3 separate regions of the Mus musculus genome follow, and regions 2 and 3 are each reported to be linked to region 1. Evidence: microRNA targets listed by miRTarBase, many of them from high-throughput screens and not tested one by one. Region 1 holds a microRNA gene; each other region holds the end of a gene's coding sequence.

Region 1 (3,254 bases):
TTAGGCACCTGTGGCTGAGCAGTGTCTCAAACAGTAGGTGTCATTTGCCTGCGGCTGGGGCGGAGAATGACCTGAAACTTCCTTACCGATGGCTGGGAATCTTGGATTCAGTGCAGAAGGAGCTGGTGGCAAAGGGCAGAGATTGAATCTATGGTTTCGAGGTCACATTCCAGAAGGAAAGAGGGATGAACAAAGAACTGCATTAGTCAGGACAGTAGCTCCCTGAGACCTATGAGGACATGACCACTCCTGCGACCACTATTGGGACATTCTCTCTCCACACCCAGATTCAACTTATTCACATTAAAACCACCTGTAACTCCAGTTCTAGGGAATCCCATGTCCTCTGGCTGCCACAGTCACATGCACACATCCATGTAGTGCGCATAAGCTCATGCAGGCATGCACACATACACACGAATAATAAAATAAATCTTAAACAGTTAAAAAAAAAAAGATTTTCTCTCACCTCAGCCAGAGAGACAGAGGGACAGAGGACTTGCTCTGTGTCACATGTGGACCAGTGCTGGGACCTTGGAGGACAGGCCTGCTCCGTGTGCTCTGGGGTCTTCAGGCAGGTCTGGCAGTTCTCAGTGACAGGCCCTGATTTCCACCCCAGGCTGTCTGCTCTAACCCAGCCTCCTCTCTGGGCCGTTTGGTGGCTAGGCACAGGAGATTTAGAACTCTGGGGGCCCAGTTCTGGGTTCTACCTTTTCCTCCAGACCAGGCGTTGGGGCAGCAATTCTGCAAGTTGAGGTGGGGTGCCCATTCCAGAGTAAATTGGATTTAACATGGATGTGTAAGTAGGGTGCTGGGTATGCCAGTTGGCATTTATGTGGCGCTTACTGTATACCAGCACTGGCACTAGTCTAGGCTGTTACCCCTCTGTTGCAGATGAGGAGACTAGGAGATAAGAGCAATTGCTAAGTAACACAAATTAGAGTGGATAGCCATGTCCCTGAACCTTGGACCAGCCGTTTCCATGAGTTACCTAAGGGGATGGACAAGCATCTTCCTGTGGTTTGAGATTTGCCCCCGTGCCCCCACCGTCTCAGCCCGGCAATGGCCGTCCCTCTTAGACAAAGCTAAACAGCTGCAACCAAGTATGGGTGCACTTGGGAGACTGAGACAAGAGAATCAAGAATTCTAGATGCGTTCCACATCCATAGTCAGTTTCAGGGCAGCCTGGGCTGTGGGGAATCCCGTCTCACAAAGCAACCCAGCACTGGGGAGCATTTGGAGGACATGAGTTGGGTTCCCAGAATCCATATCACATAGTTCGCAATTGTCTTTAACTCCAGCACTAGGGGATCCAGTGCAGGCACCTGTACACATACACACACACACACACACACACACACACACACACATACACACACACACATTAATTGAATCTTAAAAAGAGAAAACCAGAGGTTGGGAGATGGCTCAGTGGTTAAGAACACTTGTTCCTTCAGAGGACCCAGATTTTGTTCCCATGGTTATGGCGCACATACATACAAATACATACACACATACATACATATGTACATAATACACATACATATAAAAATAGGTACATATATGCATACATACACATGCATGCACACATATACATATATACACACATGCATGCATACACACAATACATGCATACATACATGCATGCGTATATACACACATGCATACCTATATACATACATACATACATATAAAAGACTCATACAGAGAAAAATAAATGCATGTGAAACAACACAACAAGAACACAGGCCAGGAGTGGTGGCACACACCTCTAAAGCCATCACTCAGGACAAGGAGATGGCAGGTGAGACTGCCTGAGAGGTCAATGAGGTCAGCCAGAACTGCAGAGTGAGACCCTGTTGTTTGTTTGTTTGTTTGAGACGGGGTTTCTCTGTGTAGCCCTGGCTATCCTAGAACTCACTCTGGAGACCAGGCTGGCCTTGAACTCAGAGATCTGCCTGACTCTGTGTCCTGAGTGCTGGGATCAAAGGTGTGCACCACCGCTCTCTGGCTAAGACCCTGTCATAAATGGGGAGAATGTTCATCTAGTAAGCATTTGCTATGCAAACACTGAGGACCTGCATTCCGTGCCCAGAGCTCACTCAGTAATGTTGATGATGATGATGACAATAATAATAATAAATAATAGTAATAAATTTAATAAAAACAACCGGGCGTGGCGCTGGGCAGAGCAATCCACATGCTAGTGAGTAGGAGCTGGGAAGCTCCCTGGGGGTCACTGGCTATTCAGCTCAGTCTGCCCAGTGAGCCCCAGGCTAGTGAAAGACTATCTCCATCAGCAAGGAGGTGGTGCTGAGGATCCTGGGTGTAAATTGCACACATGCACAAGCACGCATACACCCTTACACACTTACCCACACACACATGAGAAACAAAACTGCCCAAACCATCAAAACAGATAAAGGCAGTGAAGTACCACCTGACTCTAAGACATCGGGGAGAGGGGGGGCCCACAGACCTAAGGAAGTACCTCTCCCCTCTCCCCTTCCTCTTTCTCTCCCTTTTGTTTTGGTGGTGGTCGTCGTGGTTTGGGTTTTGTTGTTTTTGTTGTTTGCTTGTTTGTTTTGGCTTTTTTGAGATAAGGTTTCTCTGTGCAGCCCTGGTTGTCCTTGAACTCACCCTATAGACCAGGCTGTCCTTGAATTTAGAGAGATCCATCTGCCTTTGCCTTCCGAGTGCTGAGATTGAAGCTGAGTGCTGTCTCCCCGTTGCTACCACCAGCAGGAGGCTAGGAGGCACCTGCTTCAAGAAGAGGCCACAGTGGGTTTTTTTGTTTGATTATTTTTGTTTTTGTGTTTCTTTTTGTTTTTTGAGACAGAGTTTCTTTATGTAGCCCTGGCTGTCCTGGAACTCATTCTGTAGACCAGGCTGGCCTGGAACTTAGAAATCTGCCTGCCTCTGCCTCCCGAGTGCTGGGACTAAAGGCGTGCGCCACCACACCCGGCCAACAGTGGTTTTGACAGTTGAGACAAGTTGGTCAGGCTATCAATAAAATGTGGTCACTAGGGTCTAGACAGGTGACTCTGCAGTAGCCAGCACTTGCCATTCTTGTAGGGGACCCAGATTTGGTTCCCAGAGCCCACATGGCAGCTTACAACTGTCCATAGCTCCAGTTCCAGTGGTCCTGATGCCCCTTTTTGCCCTCTGAGGGGCACTGCCAGCACATGGCACACAAACACACATGCAGGTACACACTTATGCACATGACACTAAAATAAATACATCTAAGAGGA
Region 2 (3,254 bases), not on the chromosome of region 1:
TCCAGCACCCAGTGCTGTGGTAACACTGTTCCAGAGTACTGAATGGCTTGCTGGGAGATAGACTTTAGGAAGTCAGTGTGGTGACCCGAGACATTCTTCTAGCATCCCCAGCCCTGGGAAGGGCTAGGTCCTGCCTCCCCATAGCTCAGTCTGCCTTGGCACACAGATCCAGTCCTAACGCAGAGTGTCTTCTGTCTTTCAGATGGGCTTCTTCCGCAGAAGGTACAAAGAGATCATTGAAGCTGAGAAAAACCGGAAAGAGAATGAAGATGGTTGGGACTGGGTCCAGAAAAACCAGTGACCCACCGTGCCAGTCATGTGATGCCCTCATGTCCCCATCACCAGCCTGTGGTCCTTGATCTTTGTATCTTTCATATTTGGAAGAAAGAAATCTTCTCCAGATTTTTCGGAGGCCCCACTGATGCTGTTCTCTTCCTCATCCCGTCAAGCCCGGTGCCGACCTGAGATGGCCACCCCTCCAGCCAGGTCACATGACTGGGGCCACCACCACTCCCCTTCGCAAGATGAACTTAGAACTTTGGAAAGGCAAGCTACAGAGCAAAGCAATATTTATGGATGCAACATTGCGTGGTCAACCCTCAGGGGAAAACTGTTACCTAAAAGTATTTTTTATAAATGTAAGCCTTTTATATTGATCATGTCTTTATATTTGTATCAATGTTTTATTATTTCTATTAAATAGTTCTATAATTCACTCAAGCACTGAAATCTTGGAAATACATGTCCCTGCATACAAATTTTAAAAGAGAAGGAACTTATTCTACTTTGGAACTTGTTGTTAGGGAAGAAAAAAAAAACTTGCAGATAAAACAAACTGAAGAAACCTCATGAAATGAATCCACCAAGCTGGAGGCACTGGGAAAGCACAAAGGACATGGCAAGGCCGCCTAAGACATTTATTCCCCATTGTTACCACCCGGAGTTAAGTTCAGAGAGCTTGAAGTATCGGTGTTTTCTCTTATGGACCTCTCACTGGGAGATTCTCAGCAGGAACTGGGATGGAAAGCTTGGTTTCCTCTCAGCAGTTGCTCTGTACCACACTGATACATGCAGCAGGCACTAAACCCTCTTCTGGAGTCAGCAAGTGCTGGATGGACAACTGGTCAACCTCAGAATAGCATCTCATCCTAAACAACATGTGTCAGAGTTCAGAGCCCAGGACCGAAGCTGTGCTCTCTCAGCAAAGGCCTGTTTTCTCTGTGTGTAAGCTGTTACCTTGTGGTATAATGTTAACACAAGACTCTCCATTTCCTCTGTCACTCTTGCTGTCCCCAACTGGTGGTGCTGCAGATACCTCCCCAGAGAGGATCACCCCACATGGTTTGTGTTTATGTCTTAGGTGGAATTCTCAAGAGTCGAACCCTGAAATAGGACTTGGGTGTAAATAATTTATTGAGGAAGTCTTCCCAGAAGGTAACAGTGAGGAAGTTGAGAATACAAGACAGGAGAGTACAGGGAGCCAGGCAACAGTGTCCTTTCAGGGGACAACCCACGAGGTGGCTTCAAACCAGTTGGATCTAATGAGCAAGTCAGACTCAGGAACCTGGACTTTTGTGATGCCACGCCTGCAGGGGATATAAACTTTCTGCCCTTAGGTCTTGCTGACAAGATGACTCTGTCCTCTAGAGGAGAACTTTGGGGGGCACCCTCAAGTAAGGAGATCCACAAATCATGCAAAGAACTCTGAGCCAAGAGCTTTAGTGCTCCCCTCCCCCACACAAGTGAATGCTACCTTCAGCTTTGTGTAGCCAAAAAAGCCATGAGTCTAAGCTGGTCCTAGGAGTCAAACATTACATCTGACCCATGACCAAGTCAAACTCACTACAAGGAAGGGGCAGCCCCCCCAAAAAAAAAAACAGTGCACACCCAGCTCTTTTAAGTTTTATCAAAAGAAAGAAGAAAGAAGTCTTGGCTTTACCAGCCATGTACATCCTGATCTGTAGTCAGGCACTATCCTGGTGGATCCCCTGAGAACACAGTCCCCTCGTGCCTCAGGGTGGTAAGCCTCCCACAATAGGTGCAGAGTGTGGATTCTTCATGAACCCCATTTGCAGCTGTCCTGTGATGATCGTGAATTGTGTCATGGTTTCCTTTAATAAATCATTTGAGAGTCTCAGGTGGTGAGACCACTACAGAACCATCTGCAGTTATACTCAAAATGCATTTGTCCCCACTGGCTTACTTCCTGCAGAGGGTATGACTGCATCAATGGAGAAGGATGCATAACTCAGCTAGCCAGCAGAGCTGCACCTGAGAAAGTGTGGAAGGCAGGAAGGGCAGACTCAGCTAGAATCTGGCCACTCAGCTGGATCTCAAATGGTGAACCGCCATGACTAGTCACATGCTCAGATGTCGATACAACTTCAGGAGGCAGATTTTAAGGAAACTATATGGTTGCTCAGGAAGCAAATCCTAAAAGGCACCATAGGGGAGAGGAGGCCTCTTTGCCTATCTGATAATGTTGAGAGCTAGGGGTGTGGCTGCCTGGCACAGAGGCAGGGAAAGGGGTGGAGCATTGTCTTGGAATTCTCTCAGCTGAGTTGTTCAATGTCTCCATCCCAGTCTCCCTCCAGGGATCAGGAAAAGTGGGCAGGTGGATTGATGTGCCTGTGTTAGCTCTTTCTAGAACATTCTTTTTAAAAGCCCACTGTGTCGCCTGTTGTAGCCTTCCTCTGCCTCTGAGTTCATTCTGCAGACGTTCTCCAGGGCGCTATCAATAGCCTGCTTGTTTTTCAGTTGTGTCTTCTGTGGGTTTAACCAGCTCAAGAAAGACTAGAGCATCCCCAAAGTGAACCCTGCCACAGAAAGGCTATGACGTAGACAAACAAGAACACCAGCAAGAGGGGCTGGTCGATTGACTAGCGCACACCCTGTGTCCTGCCACTGTGGTCTCAGGCAATGATTTGGGAAAGCACCTCAGGGCCCAGCGGTTTGACAGGCTGCATGAAGTTGTCTGTCCGAGTCCCCCATCCATCTATCCTTGTGCTCTACCACTCAACCCCCTACCCAACCCACCCCCACGCACCAAATATCACATGACCTACTAAAGCCAAAGGCAAGGGAAAGTCTCAATAAACAGCATGCTGTTGGGACACCCCGGGGACCAGTGACCCTTGTGGTGTGGTCAAGCCCCAGTGTGGAGGGTGTGGAAATGTTATTCACATTTATTTAAGGATGACACATACGTGATCATATATACCTGATTACCCTGGAAACATAAACCTAGAGAAGGG
Region 3 (3,254 bases), not on the chromosome of region 1:
AGGAATAGCTAAGCAACCCCAGTCAGGCTCAGACGGAGCAAGAGATCATGAGATAATAAGGCAAAGTATTCCCCCAGCAGGAAGGCACAGGGTCTTCTGGGGGGGGGAGGGGGAAATCCCATGGTTTTCAAGAGCAGCCATCTTGGGCCAGAGTCCCGCCTTTATCATCCTTGTCTCCTGAGAAGAAGCTCTATGAGGTTTGGACACTGTCAGGGCCCTCATTGTAGATGAGACTACTAAGGGTCAGAGGCTTCGGGTACTTAATGCAGCCATGTGACTGACGAGCAGAGAAGCTGACTCGAGCCTGAGCTACTTGGCTGCCTCCATCTGGTCCGGAGGCAACCAGGCAGCTCGGAGACCCGTCCAGCTAACCTGACTACTCGCCATGGTGACAGTGAGGACAGCGATGAGGAACTGCAGCGGTGCCGGGAGGCAGCTGTGTCGGCTTCAGACATTCTCCAGGAGTCAGCCATACACTGCCCTGCCAAGGCAGAGGAGAAGAAGAAGTTGAAAAAGAAAGCCAAGAAGAAGGTGGACAATGCTGACCTGGCTGCAGCCCCAGGTCTGGAACAGGTAAAGGAGGCAGGCGTTGTCAATGGGGACCCGGTGTCGCTTGGGATCCAAAAGAAGAAAAAGAAGAAGGCCAAGAAATCCAGAGAGGCTCCCCTGTGCCCACCAGCAGAGTGTGCAGCGGCGAAGCCTGAGAACTGACCCCAAGCTGTAGGTCCAGCCCTGAGGATCAGGTGCCCATGGAGTTAGGGCAGAGCCAAGCCACACTCCCAGTTTCCAGCTTCCCACAATGACTGCCCAGGGTGACTTTAGGTGGGCTTGGCCAAGAGTCCAAGCAATGGAGTGGGTGTATGAGGAGAGGCCTGGAATAGATTTGTGGTTCCAGAACGTTCCCCAGCTTTTGGACTGAATCTCAGAGCATCCATCTCCCCAGCCTGTGCAGCCTTGCATGACAGTTGTCCTAGAGAATGATGGGCAGGGGTCTCCAAGCTGCCGAGGCCCCAGAAAAATTTTAGTACCTCTCCCCCAGACTTAAGAACATTGTCTGGAAAAGAAGGGAAGGTCTCCCCCACCTCCTCCTCTCCCCACATTTGTCTGTAACATGTTGACTTGTTAATACCACAGGTAAGTCAGTCACTGACAGTCAGGTGCCAGAGCACCTGCTTAGTGCTAGGCTGCATGCAGGCTTGGGTACAAGGCCCTAAGAAAGAGAAAAAGGAAAATAAATTCTCACGTGTCCCAAGACCTACACTAGCTCTGCCCTGGTCAGTGCTGATCATTTTTGTCTTATTGTCTAGAAGAGTCTCTGTGTAGCTCCAGCTGGCCAGTCTCCTGGTTTGCCTCCTGTGCAGTTACACCAACGACCGTCAGTGCTGGGGAATCAAACCGGGGCATCCCACTTACCACGCAGATATTGGGCCACTGAGCCACCTCCTCTGTGCCGAATGTTAAGGGGGCATCTTATATAAAAACCACAGGTGGCTCCCTCTGTCACCCCAGCTTCAGGACTCCAGGGAATGGTAGCACACTTGGAGTACCAGGTGGGTTTCTTGCAGTAACAAGGACACACAGATTCAGGCAGAGTCGCCTCATTTCCAGTTAAACAAAAAGATGTGTAAACATGTACGGGGCTTCGCTCTGCCTTCCCTCCTGGCCACTGATGGACAGTCAGGAAGCTTCCACGTGCTTTTTACTGACTTTACTAAAAGTTAAATAAACATACAGGCTCACTTATGGTTGGCCGTAGGCTACAGTCCAGGATGACAAAGGAGCTGGCTGAAGGCCAGGTTCCCTGCAGTAGGCCCGAGGAGACAGTCATGTGTGCTGTGTTTCCCTGGGCTGCTCGGGACCCAGGATTTCTCAGAATGGCTGCTAGCCCCCAGGCCACTTAGGTGGCTTCTCTCTGCTGGTCTTGGTACCCTCTCCACTAGACACTGCCCAGGCCTTGACTTCTGAGTTCTGCAGGTCTCCCTCATAGCAGGAAGGAAGTTGTCAGGGGCCTACAGGCAGAGGAGTGGATTGTCCATGGTGTGGTCTTGGCATGAGTTGCAGGTCCTAAGGAACAGGGATGACAACCCGAGCCCTGAAATGGCCTTTCTAGTGGATGCAAGTTGCCAGGCTGGCATCAGAAGACACATCCAAGGGAACAGATGGCCTGCAAGTGCAGTCCTGGGGCTGGGAGAAGGGATGGCTTGGTAGGGGAAAGCCTAGGAGAGCCCCGAGTGGCTTCCCCTCAGCTCCCGAGCCTAGCAGAACAGCTGGGTAGGAAATCCCCGTGGTGGGGAGGGTAATCCTCAAACAGGCACGTGGGTCTCTGGTGCAGGGTGGAATGGCCTGGGGAGGTGCAGGAGGCAGCAGGCAGCTGTGTTGATCTAGGGCCTCAGAGCTCAGCACAGATCCTTGAAGGCCTGCAGGCTCTGACTGGGGGGGTGCGGGCACCACGAGCTTCCCCACTCCTGTCCCAAGCATTAAATTTCCTATTCTAAACAGCAGGGATGGTGGTCCACAATACTGCCCAGATTGGGCCGTCCTCCAGCTCCTCGAGGCTCGCTTGTCAGGCTGAGACACCTCAGAGCCATCCCTTCCTGATGATGGAGGAGCAGCAGTGTCAATGAATGCGTAGACTTCTGGGAAGGCCAGCAGCCTGTGTCAGGTGGCATGGCAGGCTCAGATATCCTCCAGGCAGTGTGGCTGCGGCCCTCCTCACCCCCTATGCAGGCAGTGCAGGCCCTGGGGACCCAGCTCCTGGGAGGCAGTCACCACGGTTACTGGGAAGAGGAGGCCATCTGGGTGGAGATAAAAGTCTCGATGACACTATGGTTGGATGGCAGCAGGTGGCTGTGCCCGTTGGAGTCGGAACTCTGATACAACACCAGGCTGCTGGAGGACACTGCAGAAGCAAATGAGGTTACTAGCTGTTGGCCAAGTCCCCTCCGACCCCTACCCCACCTGCCCATCTCTTAGTGATGCTCCAGGGAGAGACAGCAGAGCCTCACATTCTGAATCACCAGCCAGGCGGTGGTGGCACATGCCTTTGATCCCAGCACTTGGGAGGCAGAGGCAGGCGGATTTCTGAGTTCGAGGCCAGCCTAGTCTACAGAGTGAGTTCCAGGACACCAGAACTATACAGAGAAACCCTGCCTCAAAAAAACAAAAACAAAACCCCAAGCAAACAGGAAAAAACACAAAACAACCTCCTCTGGCCTCTGCATGTGTGTGTAGAGCACCTATACACTCACATACAT

Evidence for each region. The annotated mature microRNA mmu-miR-1954 reads ACUGCAGAGUGAGACCCUGUU and lies in region 1 at 1,841-1,861, shown strand. An mRNA with a match to its seed (bases 2 to 7 or 8) in the 3' UTR can be bound and repressed. Matches are read on the target gene's strand: a 7mer-m8 pairs with bases 2 to 8, a 7mer-A1 pairs with bases 2 to 7 and ends in A, and an 8mer does both.
Region 2: the mRNA of Itga9 is a reported target of mmu-miR-1954. Seed matches in the 3' UTR shown: 7mer-A1 at 1,306-1,312, 7mer-m8 at 2,162-2,168, 7mer-A1 at 2,207-2,213 and 8mer at 2,710-2,717.
Region 3: the mRNA of Hnf1a is a reported target of mmu-miR-1954. Seed matches in the 3' UTR shown: 7mer-A1 at 1,968-1,974.

The regions. Positions count from the first base shown.
Region 1 is chr2:32,650,502-32,653,755 of GRCm38, forward strand. It overlaps Mir1954 (microRNA 1954), which reads left to right and starts at 1,828; the gene lies at 1,828-1,913. All of the region lies in intron 1 of Eng (endoglin), which reads left to right.
Region 2 is chr9:118,897,032-118,900,285 of GRCm38, forward strand. Itga9 (integrin alpha 9) reads left to right here. Exons shown (of 28, transcript NM_133721.2): 28 at 203-3,254. The coding sequence ends at 301. Among named protein-coding and RNA genes, the nearest start is that of Gm51695, 11 kb to the left of the region's middle.
Region 3 is chr5:114,947,287-114,950,540 of GRCm38, forward strand. It overlaps Hnf1a (HNF1 homeobox A), which reads right to left. Exons shown (of 10, transcript NM_009327.3): 10 at 1,694-2,899. The coding sequence ends at 2,775. 2210016L21Rik (RIKEN cDNA 2210016L21 gene) reads left to right here. Exons shown (of 6, transcript NM_028211.1): 6 at 396-1,254. The coding sequence ends at 711. Among named protein-coding and RNA genes, the nearest start is that of 2210016L21Rik, 6.7 kb to the left of the region's middle.